3 linked regions of the Rattus norvegicus genome follow. The protein of the gene in region 3 interacts with the protein of the main gene of each other region in a pairwise test. Links are inferred from orthologs where the notes say so. Each region holds a gene or a part of one and is shown on either strand. Other genes may lie near its edges.

The links. The genes of interacting proteins can lie anywhere in the genome.
Region 1: the proteins of Bysl (region 3) and Mipol1 interact in binary tests that used the Homo sapiens proteins (3 or more experiments, as listed by UniProt). The two-hybrid records come from large-scale screens. The link is inferred for Rattus norvegicus from reciprocal best matches to the Homo sapiens genes BYSL and MIPOL1.
Region 2: the proteins of Bysl (region 3) and Lonrf1 interact in binary tests that used the Homo sapiens proteins (3 or more experiments, as listed by UniProt). The two-hybrid records come from large-scale screens. The link is inferred for Rattus norvegicus from reciprocal best matches to the Homo sapiens genes BYSL and LONRF1.

Annotation. Positions count from the first base shown.
Region 1 is NC_086024.1:80,488,881-80,493,579, reverse strand, and holds the start of Mipol1 (mirror-image polydactyly gene 1 protein), read right to left. Parts: upstream 3,251-4,699; 5' UTR 3,071-3,250; intron 1-3,070.
Region 2 is NC_086034.1:62,686,572-62,691,180, reverse strand, and holds the start of Lonrf1 (LON peptidase N-terminal domain and RING finger protein 1), read right to left. Parts: upstream 3,251-4,609; 5' UTR 3,237-3,250; coding exon 2,441-3,236; intron 1-2,440.
Region 3 is NC_086027.1:20,878,994-20,884,041, reverse strand, and holds the start of Bysl (bystin), read right to left. Parts: upstream 3,702-5,048; 5' UTR 3,634-3,701; coding exon 3,369-3,633; intron 1-3,368. Other genes in the region: Med20 (mediator of RNA polymerase II transcription subunit 20), read left to right, coding at 4,144-4,157. UniProt on the Homo sapiens protein: Required for processing of 20S pre-rRNA precursor and biogenesis of 40S ribosomal subunits. May be required for trophinin-dependent regulation of cell adhesion during implantation of human embryos.

The DNA.
Region 1 (4,699 bases), on a different chromosome or scaffold from region 3:
TTATCCAGGGAATACAGAATTCTGGAAAGATGTTCTTTGACTTTCCAGATGTCAAATGTAGTTCTTTGGACTACATCCTGATAAATATACCAAAAATGCATGTAATACACACCTAAGTCATCAAATCCCTGAGCTGAACACAATGTACCAAAGACCACTAGTTGTTGGTTCTCCTGATACCACCTAGGAATTGCAGCTTGCAGCCACCACCCAGTGTCATGAATAACAGTAACTTACCGTGTCTGTCTACCCCTAGCCTAAATAAAGATTAAAAATACAAATGCAAGATACCACCTCTATTGACTACCAGTTTCTCACCATCCCAAAGCCAAAAAATCTAAAGGTGAACGACTGTAAGTCAGAGACAATATATACTATTTTTTTTTTAGCTTCTCAACAAGACACACTATTTTAAAAGTTTTTCTTAAAAAATTCAGACAAGGCTTTAAAACAAAAAGTATCACTAAAGATGAAATGAATCACTGATAAAAGAGGATGTCTAGCTTACAGAAAAATAGATTAATCATGAAGCTATATACTATGAAGAGCATGACCTCAAAAATAGATATGTACATACACACATGTATATATGTGTGGATGTGCGTGCGTGCGTGCGTGTGTGTGTGTGTGTGTGTGTGTGTGTGTGTGTATATGACTAGGTGGGTAGGTATCCAGGGAGAAATAGACTCCATTATTACAAAAGGAGTCTTAACATAGCAAATTGTCACCACTTACTACTACTAACACAGAGATTTATACATATATGAATTGTTAATAGGAGAGATTGAGCAACAGCATTAATAAGGCACGTATAAAACAATCCATATCACCTGTGCAGACATGTTTTGTAAACAGCTATATACAGAAAAGTAACAATTTTAGTGGTTATTCATTTGTTCAGAAAAAAATGTCCATGTTTTATATACTTCTATATGAACCATATTTCACAATAAAGTTTTTTAAAGTTATCATTTTTTTCTCTTTTTCAAAGTTCATTCCACAGTAGCAAATCCTACAAAGATACAAAAATACAAAGAAGCACTGTGAGATGGTGCTCTCATTTAATCCCAGGACTTGGGAAACAGAGGCAAAATTTCTCTGAGTTCAAGGTCAGCTTGGTCCACATAGCAACTTCTCAAACAGCCAGGACTAAAGCCAGACTGTCTTGAGAGAGAGAAGAGAGACAGGCAGATACAGAGACAGAAACAGATGTTGGCATGTTTCAAGAAGAAACAAGAAAAATATTCAAGATTATAAACTACAGTAAACTGAACCCTGTTATAGTCTAGTTATTTCCAAAATGTATAGATATTAAGCAAAATGGAAGCAATCTCAATGTACATACACAAACCTAATGCACTACTTTAAATTTAAAAGAATATACCACATACCTATATATATTAAAATAGAGTAAAACCTAAAAGAATACTTCCAACTTTAGCAAAAATCACAACCAGATTTCCTTTTAACAAATGCCAAAAGTAGTTCTATGGAAAATTTGTCCTATTAGTCAACTATTAAAGAGAAAGTCCAAATCAGCTACCACGTTAAAGTAATAATCTGTTGCTAGAATAGATTGTGTGTGTGTGTGTGTGTGTGTGTGTGCGCGCGTGTGTGTTTCCAAAACAAAAAATGTGGTATATAGTTATGGTTAAATTTAATTATTTCAAGACATAAGATAATTATACTTCATGAAAATACAATAAACTGTACACACAACTTAAGCACGTTTCTATGTTTATTAAACTTTTAAATTTATCACGCAAAGATTTTTATTTCATACTCTACCGTTGAAGAAAAATAATGTACATCTACTCATATTTGCTTGTCCATCATTACTTTTATCTAATGAAATAATTCATATTATCTCACTTTTTCAAAATTAGCCTCAATTATTGCTACACTATTTACTAGGATGCAATCTAGTTTGGTTTCTTTTGCTTTGACAAATGTCATGACCAAAAGCTAACACGGAGGGCTAGCATCCATCACCCAGGAAGCAACCAAAGGAGCTGGAGGATAGAACCTGGAAGCGGGAACTGAAGCAGGGACCAGGGAGTTACCCTTACTGGCTTGCTCTCCATAGCATGCTTTGGTTTTCTTCCTTATACAAGTGAGATCCAACCTGCTCAGGGTTGATAAAACACACAGTGAGTGATCTGGGCCCTCTCACCTCAATCATTAATCAAGAAAATGTCCCCAATTTGATGGAAGCAATTCGTCCTTTGATCTACCCTCCTCTAGTCATTCTAGTGACTTAATAATATAGTAATATCCAGTGCAGGATGATAGCCTATGTAACGATTACGTAACTGTCCTTTTATCTGAGGTTCACTCCAGATGGCAGTAAGAAACTTTGCAAAGTGAGTAACTTGTGATACAGATTAAAGGCGTCCTTCCTTAGCTGTCTATCTACCACCACCGGGAATTATTTGACATAAAAATGCTCAAAGGGACCCTTCCAAAGGCCTGTTCTCTTAGAAACACGCGTTTCTTATATCACCACCCTAGCCTATCCTGCTATCTTGCAATCTACTCGACTTGAAGTACTTCACCAATACCGTAAGGTGGTGTCATCCTCCAGTTAGAAAAGCCAGTTTTTGGATGTAGTGAACCCAGAGTATGCAGTTGTATCTTACTACAGTAGGCACTGGGCATATTGAGCTACACTGCGGTTTTGTCTCGCACTATGAAGGGTGAAAGCTATGAAGCGCTAAAGTGTCCCGGAAGGGCATAAAGTGAACCCACGGTCCAGCCAGGACTGAAACCTTAATTCCTCACAGCTTGGAGGAAAAACAACCTACACTTCTCAGTGTTCGGCCTTTTTAACTTTTGAAAGACTACACGCCATGATGCTGAAACCTGGAGGAGCGGCGTGTCACCTGTGAACGCCGCGACGCGGGCTACCAAAGGTGGCCGGCACTCTCGCGGTCAATTCTTAAGCAAGTACTCCTGCATCTCCAGGGGCCGCGGCCGGAAGTCCCGATCGGGCTGCAGCCCACTCTGAGGTTCTCTCCCTTCCCCTTCCCCTTCCCCCTCACCCCCTACCGCTCCCGGCCCACGCCGTTACCTGTGGAGCCACGGGATCCTTAAGGGCCCACTCCGCTCACGCAGTTCGCGGGTCCTGTGGCGCCGCCACCGAGGGAGCCAATCGCCGTGCGCCCGCTGCGCGCCTCTGAGTGACCAAAAAGGGCGGGGTGGGCGAGAGGAAACGTGCTGCACGCACGCGAGAACCCGCGCGGACGAGACTGCACGCACCGAGCATGCGCGAGCCCGGTGGCTGCAGGGGGTGGGGCGGGGCGGCGGGGCGGGGCGGGGCTTCCGGCGAGCTCGCGGACCTACGGATTGCTCCGGGAAGCAGGAGGAACGTGGCCTGGAAGTCTTGTTCGATGGGAGGGGCGGGCAACTACTCCGCGCTAACTCTGCAGAAACGTGTGGTTCGTGAGCTCAGCCTCCCGTAGAGGATCTTCACTGGGCAAAACTGTGGTTTCCGTTTGCGTGGAGAGATTTGTGGCGACCGGAGGAAAGGTCCTGCGAAGTGAGCCAGAGTGAGACCTAGATGTTGGCCAAAGAATTCAGAAAAGCCTTAAAGCTGGTGACATATTTACTTCAGGACTAGAAAGAGTGTACTCTAGACTATGTGCGTTCTCAATGTTCAATCTCAGAACTAAAAAGAAAAGCCTAAACGCCAGGATTATTTTTATTGCAAAACATAGGTTTTAGCATTCTAAGCTCTACCCCCCCCCCCCCAGTTACCAGCCAACAGCCAGGTATGCCTGATACTATAAATGAGGCTACTTGCCCCCTCTTGCTCTTACCCTCTTCCCTCTTTGTTCCTTCCCTCCCCATTCCCCTCCCTATCTCCACGGGATTATGGCCGGCTTCTACCTCTCCCTCCCTCTTAACTCCCCTCCCCATGCTCTGAATAAACTCTATACTAAGGATTGTGTGGCTGTTCCCTCAGGAGGAATGGATGTCTCAGCATGGGCCGGCTGAGGCACCTCCTTTCCTCATGCCTCACCATACCTCCATAGAACATACCCCCACCCTTTATCTTTTTATAAGCATATGAATAGGAATAATGTGGAACTATATTGGAACTGATATAACTGGTGTTTTTCTCCTTTTAAAGAGAGAAGTGGTGTCCCCAAGCTGCCCAATCTGATCTAGAACTCCTACATCCCACCTTAGCCTCTTTGCTGGGACTACAGGTCACTGACGCTCTGGTGGTTTAGTATTGAAATATTAAAGTCACTTACTTAGTATTTTCTATTCACTGAGGGCATACTGCATGCCAAGTAGTCTTCTGGATGCTGGGGTAACAAGATTACCGATAATAGTACTTTTTTACACCCCCAGCAGAAAATAAGCATAAGGTGGTGACAGCCACCAAACCTAATAGACAAAGTTAGTGAAAGACTTGATTTTGGCTTACAGGACAATAAGAGGTAGTGCCCATCATAGTAATGAAGGCAGGATGGCAAAGTGACCAGTCATCCCCAGTCAAAATGCAAGATAACAAGTGGAAAACAGGGATGGACTCCACAAGCAATAACCAGTAACCCATTTCCTCTAGCAAACGTTCACCTTCCAGAAGTGCCACATACTTCACCAAGTGATAGGAGGTATGAAGTATGAAGAAAAAGATGAGATGAACAAATTACTTGGAATAAATAGAGCTTAATACTCAAAGTTCTGT
Region 2 (4,609 bases), on a different chromosome or scaffold from region 3:
AGTAGAAAAGACTCAATGCAGAAAAGACTTTTACATAAGCTCCTTGAATACTAAGAAGAAAGTTATGAAACATCTGAGAGTTAATACCAAAAGATCAATGGATTAAATGTTATCTAAATATATTCCAATGCAACAGAACCTTATGTAATCTCAATGGGAATTCTGATTTTGGCAAGGGTTTCCAAGTTTGCTTTTTCTGTCGACAAGGATAAGTTTGGTTGTGTGTGGGCCAACTGCAGACTAGATTTTTTTTTCTAATAATATTTGTTTCATTCTAAGAAACATGAAAAATTACAGCGGTTTTTTTTTCATGATCAACGAAGACAGTGCCATTAATAACTATAATTGAGCAATGATACAAATGCATTTCAAATGCTTACCTATCTCAAAACTGGCCAACTCCAAGACACCTTAACCCTAACAACCGGACAAACAGATTTGCGAGAGTAGAACTGACACACTGTGGTGGGTTGTTTGGAAGGCTAGGGATACAAAGCAGAACGCTGCGCATGCCAGGCGAGCTTGCTACCCCTGAGCTATCCGCCCACTCTTATTAATGCCCATAAATTATGAAACACATACACATTTGCCCCCGACCAACTAAAATATGTTTGGCTCTTTAATTGTTCTCTTTTTATCTCGCACAAAGAATTCAAGAGAAAAAAATATCATCATTAGTATCATTGAGATGCATATTCGGGTGGAGAATTACTGATTTTTCTGACAAGCCTATGAATAAGGAAAAAAAAAACCCTATAACATAATAAAGTGAAAGGCCAGAGACTTGAATTCGAGTCTTGAAAAAAGTGTGGTTATGTGGCCTGTGGGCAAATCTCACATGCGGTCTATGAAGCTTGGAAGCGACAGAATTCATCATTCGCAGCCTTTTCTGTTCAAGATGATATCCTGGTAGACCCGAGGATCTCAATGCTGGGCAGAGAATGTTGGGAAGTGGAGGGTCTAAGCTGCCTATACAAGCCACCACCCAAGTGACTGTTGTTAAGTCACCTGCCCTGTCTCTGCTTCCTCCTTAAGGTCTGACAGAAGCCTGATACTGGATGATCAGTCAGGTCCAGCTTCCCCCACTCAACTTTATCCACCCAGATATCCAGAGTCATCCCCAGCAGAACTGTGCATCCCCAAGTGTTCTATCACTCTGGGTTTGTCGTTTTAGTTTATGAGTGCCTGCTCATGAAGCTGCCAGAAGAGGATGAAAACGTGCCAGAAGGGTATGCCTGAAGCTACTGTCAACTTCCTCAGTATGACTAAAAGAGTCAAAGTAATAATTTCAGTTACAAGTTTATAACTTACCTAATACCTAAAATCAGTTCAAATTCCCAATGTCACTCATTTCCTGGGGATTAATACTGTATGTAATTTCTCATGGCAGCCCACAGACACACAAAGCATGCCCAACACCAGGTGACCAACTATGATACAGTTGACATTTGGGCTTGATCAGTCTTTCACGTAGGTGGCTGTGAGCTTAGGAATGTTTAGCAACATCCTTGGACGGGCCACTAGATGTCTGTACTGACAGGACTTCTACAAGAGGTGGCCATTCAAAGATGTCTCTAGATGCTTTACTAGATAAGGGTCCCTGATGTAAAAATCTCTAGGAGGTAAGTACCACCACCACCTCAGTAGAGAACAACCGAGTTCGAGGATTTAAAGAACTCTTGGCTTTACTAAGTTTACAATGACCCCTTTATCCGCAGTCTAAAAGCCATCTCCAGTAAACTGGACAACGCTGTTCTTGGATATAAGCAAAAGACCTACAAAGCTTCCCCTCACAGGTCTACACTGAGTAAGGCAAACTCGTCATAGGAGGCTACTTCTCTACCAACACCAGGAATGTGTGGGAGCACGCACAGAGGTCCAAGGAAGCAGAATGTGAGATAGGCAGGTGGAGGTTCCTGGAGCAAGCGATCCTTTAGGTAAGAAGAGGTGACCACCTCGCGGGCAACCGGTCACCAACTCAGAGCTGGGCCGCCGCTGGGCCTCCGGGTGCCGGTGCCCGCGCCGGGCTCCCGCCACGCCCACCGAACGTCACCCGTTACACAACGCCCCCCCACCCAGCTTATGCAATTCTGCCCTCCCGCGGCTTCTAATTGCCCCGGTGACTTTAGTGCATGACCAAGGTAGACGCGGTACCCCCAAGCCCCGCCAAGCCCGGGGATGCTCGCCCCACCCCGGCTGGGGTTCCCAGCCAGCTCACAGAGGGAAGCCTGTGGCCCCCACCCACCCCGCGCCCAAGCTCCGCCGCCCCAGGTCCCCGCTCGGCGCGCGCACGAGGGAACCTCGCATCCGCGCCCCTCCCTGCGCCGCGTCACTTGAGGCTCCCAGGCGATCCCCACCGTGACCGAAGCACCCCGGGGCGCCGCCCCCTCCCACACTCGCAATCCCCGCTCGCCAGTCCCGCACCGCAGCCCCGCATCACCTGCTCGCAGAGCGTCGCAGGCGGCGGCCAGGGCCTCCCGGTAGCGTCCTTCGTGTAGTAGCTCCCCGAGGCGGCCGGCCGCCCGCGCGCGCTCGCGCTGGCCCGGGAACCACTTCTCCGCCAGGTGGTTGAGCACGACGCTGGTTCGGAAGTCGGCGATGGCGGCGGCCAGGGGCGGCGGCCGCGGGGTCCCCTCGGAGGCGGCGGCGGCGGGTGGCAGACGGTCCCGGCACAGGCGGCAGCGGGCGCGCAGTTCCCTCCGTAGGCAACGGCGACAGTAGCTGTGGCCGCACGGCACGGTCACCGGCTCACTTAGGAAGCCCCGGCAGCCCAGGCAGCTGAGCAGCCCGGCCGCGCCCGCGGCGGGTGCCGCGCTCCAGCGCAGCCCGTGACGGAGCCGGTAGCTGAACACCAGGCAGTCCACTAGCGAACCGAGGCGCTCGGGCCTGGCCGGGGCCCCGCGGCGCAGCGCAGCCGCGAACGCCTCCAGCGCTCCCTTCAGGTGGCCGCCCAGCGCCAGCAGCTCGCCGCGGCGGAGCAGAAGCTCCCAGCGCCCCGGCTCCGCGCCCGCGCGCTCCAACCGCTCGCCGCCGCCCACTTCCCACGGCCCGTTCCGGCTCCGCGGTCCGCCGGCCGTCTCCCGATTCCCGCCCGGGGACGCCCTCGCCACGGCCGGAGAAGACATGGCCCGCGCAGGGCTGCTCCTCCGTCGCCGCCCGCCGCCACGGTCCGGGAACCTCCGGGGCGCGCGGCTCCGCACGCGGCCGGCGAGCAGGGGGGCGTGGCGCGCGGACATGGCGGGGCGGCGCGCGCCCGGGGAGCCCCTAGGGGCGGGGCCTGGGGAGAGGGGCGGAGCTTAGCGAGACGGAGAGGGGCGGGCCTTGGCTTCCGCGCCCGGCCTCCCGACACGCGGCCGGCCGCCCAGTACCGGAGAGCTGGCCGGCCTGTCCCACCCTTTCTGAGCCCCTCCTGGTGAGGGACGCGAGATCAGATGATCCCCAGCGGGGATCTAATTGGCTTCTCTGACAAGGAGGCTTGGCTCCTGACTGAACAAAGCCTGAAGTCTCCCAGGCGGCCTGCGAGCTGACACCTCTTGTAATCGTGGCTGGTCCCCAGGCCTATAGTGGGTGCTATGCTGTTCGTGTGGGCACCAGCAGTGCTGTGACCCCAAACCTGCCGCACATGAGTAGATACTTAGACCCCTCCTGGCCGTAGATGGAAGCCTTGGGTGGGTCTGGATGCCCAGGGTTTCTGCTGGCCAGAACAAGTAGAGGGACTGCGAATGCACATGCACGGTGTGATTACTTTGAGACTCAAATCTGAAATCGGCCAACTCTAGACACACATATTTCATGTTACTGAGACCACTTCCTCCCAGCACGCAAGAGTTTTTCTTGGTGCTTGGTTAGTGCTGACTTGTGATGAAGTTTATTAAGAGAAAATGACAGAAACGAACTGTCCAAAAGAAACCCAATACTTTGTGAGCGATTTGTAAACTTTAATTTTAAAAGTGCAATACACCAAAAAACATTAAACTATTAAATAAACCACATGTACACTTAGAGAGTGAAAGTCCCCATGTCCTCAGGTGTGCTCCACATCCTTCATACACACTAACCCACAGTTGCTTAAAGTTTTTTAAATGAGAAAACAGGAGAAAAACATTTTCGCTGTGGCAGAAACCAGATCACCACGATGCAAGCGTTCTGCAGCTTGGTCGATTGAAGATAGTTTGGCTCATATGTAATGGGTTCTAGTTCCTCTAAATGTGAAAGCATCAGGTATCTCAATGGAAATATTTATAGACTTGATTACAGAGTACTGGGTTGGTAATGTAGGAAGAGATTTAAGGCTTCTTTTTCAAATACTTGATAACAGGAAATAATTCAGTCTGAAATCATACAGTCAGTATTGAAAAGATTTTAAGATCTCACAGTGATAGTATCATATATATATATATATATATAATGTTTAATAAAATTATCTTCAAATATTTTTAACCAGAGATCTTCAAATAAAGCAATTGGATGGAATGTCAAAGGTCATGCTGTCTAAAATTGTCTAACAATTAATTGTTCCTGCTTACACAGAATAGGTAATAACAGTTCAAAAGTGTCTTTATACTAAACAATGAGCAAACTTTCCTCAGAAAAGAAAGGGGGACAGGAA
Region 3 (5,048 bases):
TAATGGTTGATGCACTACCCTCAGTGACCTCGAAGAAGCCATTCTATACTATACACGTGGAACCTGGTCCATCCAGATAACCTCGAGGAATGGGTACTGTCATCAAACTGGACAGTAGGTAGCTCGGGTCCTGACTTCCCACTTTGTGGCTTGCACAGTACAGCTGTATTACGTGCTAAGGCTAAAACCATGGTAGAGGCAGAATTACCACAGGCACTTTGGTGAGGGTGAGGAGGCCCTGGATGGGCAATTTGGGAGCAAGAGCTTGCTGTACACCCTGGAAAGTAGTGTTGTCGCAGTGTTGGGCATTAGGAGCCAGAGCCAGAACTAGACTATAGCACCAGAAAGGAAAGGTAAAGCCAAGCCGGAAGGCTGAGGGCTAGTCAGTGGCACCAGACTCTGATTAACCAATACATTTAAAAGGCTGACTTAGGTAGTCAAGGATGACTTAGAGGTCCTTGTTCTCAGGCCTCTACTTTCCAAGTGCTGGAATCACAAACACACACCACAATGCTTAACACTGAGCTCCTGATGTTGGGATAAACGCTCCTGTTCTGTGTAAGGTTGTCTTTGAATTATTCACACACTGATTTCTGTAACAGTGGAGACTTGCAGTTGTTATTGTTATTTTTGTGAAGCATCACCTGTCCAGGTGTTGTATAAACAACATCTTCTCTGTCTCCGTCCCATTGGTTTAATCAGGAGCTGACTGGCCTATAGCAAAGCAGGAGAGGATTTCCGGCAGAGATAGGAACTCTGGGAAAGAAATGAGATATGAAGGGATTTGACAGCCAGAGGAAGAAACACATACAGGTACTGAGGAGTGGAAATGAGCCATGTGGTTCCGTGTACACTAGTATTAATGGGCTAAGTTGTATAAGCTACTTGGGAACAAGCCAGCTAAGGCCAAGCTTTCATAATAAAATGTCTCTGTGTCCTTACGTGGGCGATAGGTGGATAGGTGGGTCAAGCCATTCCTGACATATCCTGACTTTTATTTTTTTAGAGACAGGGTCTTGACCATGTAGCCTTGGCTGGGTGCTTCCTGAGTGCTGGGATTAAAGCCATGTGCCAACATACCTGTAGTGACAAACACCACACACACCTGGCAAGGCAGCTGGGAAAGAGCCTAATGGGCCAAATTAGCTGCAGTGTTACAGAGCAACAGGTCATGTGCTTGGAAGTGGACTAAGGGTACCTAGAGCTCAAGGAGTCCACAGAGCACATTCAGGGAGAGCCAAGGGTGTTTGTTGTAGATTTACTTTAAGTGTGAGCGGTGCCTGCCTGCATGCCTGCATGTATGTCTGTGCACACGCGGGCCTGGTGTCTAGTGAGATCCGAAGATGGCATCTGACCCCTTGCCACTGGAGTTACAGACAGCAAGCCTGACATATGAATGCTGGAAACCATACTCGGATCTTCTGCTAGAACAAGTGTTCTGAAAAGCTGAGGACCAATTCTCAAGAGTTTTCCTCTGTTCTCTACACACATCATGACACGCACACAAAATACATGTTAAATAAAAGAAGACAAGTGCTATGAGATAAGTAGGGGAATAAAAGAGGTTAGGAGACAGATGCTGACACTTGTGGGGTGTTTTGTTGTTGCTGTTGTTAGTTTTTTATATATGAGTGAACCCTTGCATCATAGAGGCCAGAGGGGAATCTTGACTATTATTTCTCGGGAGCTGATGACCTTGTTTTTGAACCAGGGTCTGGCTGGGACCTGGGGTTAGCTGATTAGGCTACACTGGTTGCCCAGTGGGTCCAAGAGATCTGTCTTCAACACTGTGGGACTACAAGCTGTTGTAGGTGGAAGTCAAGAGTCTCAAGTCATGTTCCTTACCAGCTGAATTATCTTATCCCCTCCTTACTTTGTGATTAGACCTGAAACAGAGGCAGATTAGATAGGATTCTGTTGATCTCTAGCTGTTGAATGGACCACAGAGGTTACAGAATACAAATTATGATGCTCTCCCAGTGATTCAGGGGAGACTGTGGTAGCTAAAACAGGAGGCGTTCCAAGTTAATGGAAAGTGGTCTGGCTCTGGATATATTCTAAAGACACAACCATCAGGATTTACTGTGAAGTGAGAAAGAGAACACTGGATTGTGCCTTGAGCAGTGGAAGGCTAACATGCTAACAAACTCTGTGTAGCCAACAGAGAGCAGGTTTGGGAAGGAAGTCAGAACTTCTGTGTGGACACATTCAACTATCGACAGCTACCAGTCTTCAACTTGGAGCTGTCAGGAAGACCACTGGAAATAAAGATGTGAGCCTCTTGGACGAACTACGTACGTGGGAGAAAAATCTGGAAGCAGCCATCAAACAGATGGCTTCAGAGTGAAATTTGCTGACAGCATCACGGAAGGATCTATAAGCTCAAGGCCTGCCTTGGTCACGGCAAGTTCAAGTCCAGCTTGAACAACTGAAGGAGACCCAGTCTCAGTTACAAAATGTTTTTAAGGGCAGGCGTGGTGCCAACCACCTATAATGCCACATGGAAAACAGAGGCAAGATCAGGAGTTTAAGGTCATCCTCCCCTACAGAGTTTGAGGCCAGCCTGGGCTCCTTGAGCCCTTACTTCAGAAAAGCTGCTGTAGCCCTAAAGCCACATTCAAACACTGCTTTTAGGACAGATGGGAATGGAAGATTAAGCAACTGGAGGTCAACGACAGTTCCTCCCCAGTGAGACAGATTACCAAGCATCTACCCACCCATCCCACCCCACTTTTAGCTTCTGAACAATACTCGTTCCCCTCCCTCATCACTGGAACACTTCCCACTTGCTTTTCAGATCTTACTAGAAGGACGTGAAACCTGGGATACCCACCATACAGAATTAATGTCCATCTGTTTTTGTTTAAACAGAAATATCTTTCCCCCTCTCTTGAGAGATAGGGTTCTATCATGTAATGTAGTCGAGGTTAATCTGGAATTTACTATGTACTCAAGGAGGCCTTCTGCCTTGCTTCTGGAGTGCTGGCATTACAGGTGAGCATCGCCACTCCTGCCTGGAATATATTACTCTAATTATCTATTTAATGTGTGCCTTGAGCTACACTTCCGGTGCCATCAGGAGTGATGAAGATCTTATTTCTGGATCAGAACTGCCTAAAAACTTAACACAGCTCAAAGCACTATGCAGGCAGCCCACAGATACTTCAAACGCACAGAGAATAAATAAATGCTAGAACTGGTGTGAGAGATCACATTCTGTTGGCTTAAGTCTGGATCCCGAAACCCAGGAGTGGAAGTGAAGGACCACGCGGGAAAGTTAAGCCGCCTACTCTTTTTAATTCTAACCCAGTATTCCGATGGAGAGTATCAGACCGGCCCAACTCACCACTCCACCCCTTGTCACTCACCCAGCCGCGTGGCGCGCTCTCGCGGTTTTGCCGGCCGATCTCCAGTCGCGTGTTCAGTCTCGAGCTCCTCCTGCTGCTGCCGGGCTTGTTGCAAAATCCGTCTGCTCAACCGGGGTCCCACATACTCTTCCTCCTCTTCGACCCCGTGTCTCCGCCGTTTTTCTCGGGTCCCCGCACGCACTGCGTCCCCAGCCAGAATCTGCTCCGCCAGAGGTGCATGTCTCTCTTGATTTCTGGCCCCACGTGTCACCTTTAATTTGGGCATTTTTGTCGAAAAACTTGCCCACAAAGTTTACACGTGTGAAGCCGGCTAAGAGACGAGACTGCGCTTGCGCCTTGTATTCCGGTCTCCAAGAGGTCACTGAGGCATCACAGTGCCCCCCAGCGTTCGGAGGCCGGAAGTTCCTCATATATCGCCATCTCTAGAAGAGCTTCGGGGCTTGGAGCAGGAGTCTCCAAATTCTCAGATAATCTCACTGAAAGAGGTGGATGTTCGAGTCACCTTTTCCAGAATTCATGAAAGTAGCCTAGGGCGTGTTGTCAACCCCTTGTATGTTTTGGGGGCGGAGCCGGGTCGATGACGTACTAGAAATGTCACCGCTGGTGTATCCAGAGATGCCTCTCCCTGTGGGCGTGTCGTCCTGGCGCTCAGTATTTACGCATTTCCGGAGGCCGGTCAACGACCGCTTCCTGTGTTTAGGGGGCTGCCTCTCGTGGGAAGGTCTGGATTCTCTGAGTTTGAGTATTTGGCAGTACCACCTTTTGACCCTTCGCCATGGGAGTGACGTGGTAGGACTTGAAGGGCTTCTGCGGGGGGGGGGCTGTGGGGTCGTGAAGGTGTCTGTGAGCCTGTAATGGCCCGGGGAGGGGGATTTTGACCGAGGTTCTCGGTTCCTCGAGGGCTGACCAAGATGTCCTGGGGTTGTGTGGATCAGGGGACACCCGAGTGCGGGTTCTCCCTTCCCAGGCATAACAATTTGGCAAAGCAAGCACTTCATCCCAAGAACCCGCCAAGAGTTGTTGGACCTTCTTTTTCTCGGTACCTCTTTCTGTCCTTGAGGCCTTGTCCCGTCGCAACTAGAATCCAGCGGTTAGAAATAAGGTTTCTAGACTAGGAGATATTCGGAGGAAGGGATAAAAAGGGGCGCGAGGAGAAAGTGACTTGTGTATTCTGCTTGCAGTTATAGCACCTGACTTTGAACTGGCCACTTTAAGATATTGGGGCTAGTGACAAAGGTAGGGGAAAGGAGCTGTTGGGAGTTTGGAGATCGGGGTACCAGGCATATTAACTATTCATGAACCACTCCCTAACGTATTTGAGACAGTTTTTTGAGCAGGGTTTTCTTTGTGAGTAGCTTTGGGAGGCCTGTAGATCAGGCTGGACTCAAACTCACCGAGATCTGCCCACCTCTGCCTCTTGAGTGCTTTGGTGATGGCATTTGCCACCAGCACTTGGGCTTGAGACAGTTTTGATCGACTTTTATCTTAAACATGTCTTAAGTCTCACTTGAAAAAAAAAAAGAGGCAGTCGGTAAGGTTTGGGCACCGTGCTTTTGTGGGTATTAATTTCAAAGTACTAGACCTCAGCACTTAAAATCTTGGTACTGGTGCGCTTCTTTCCGATTAAAGAAGCTTGGGGGCCATTGTACAGGAAGTCAGGGGCCACAGGTCTGCTCTGGA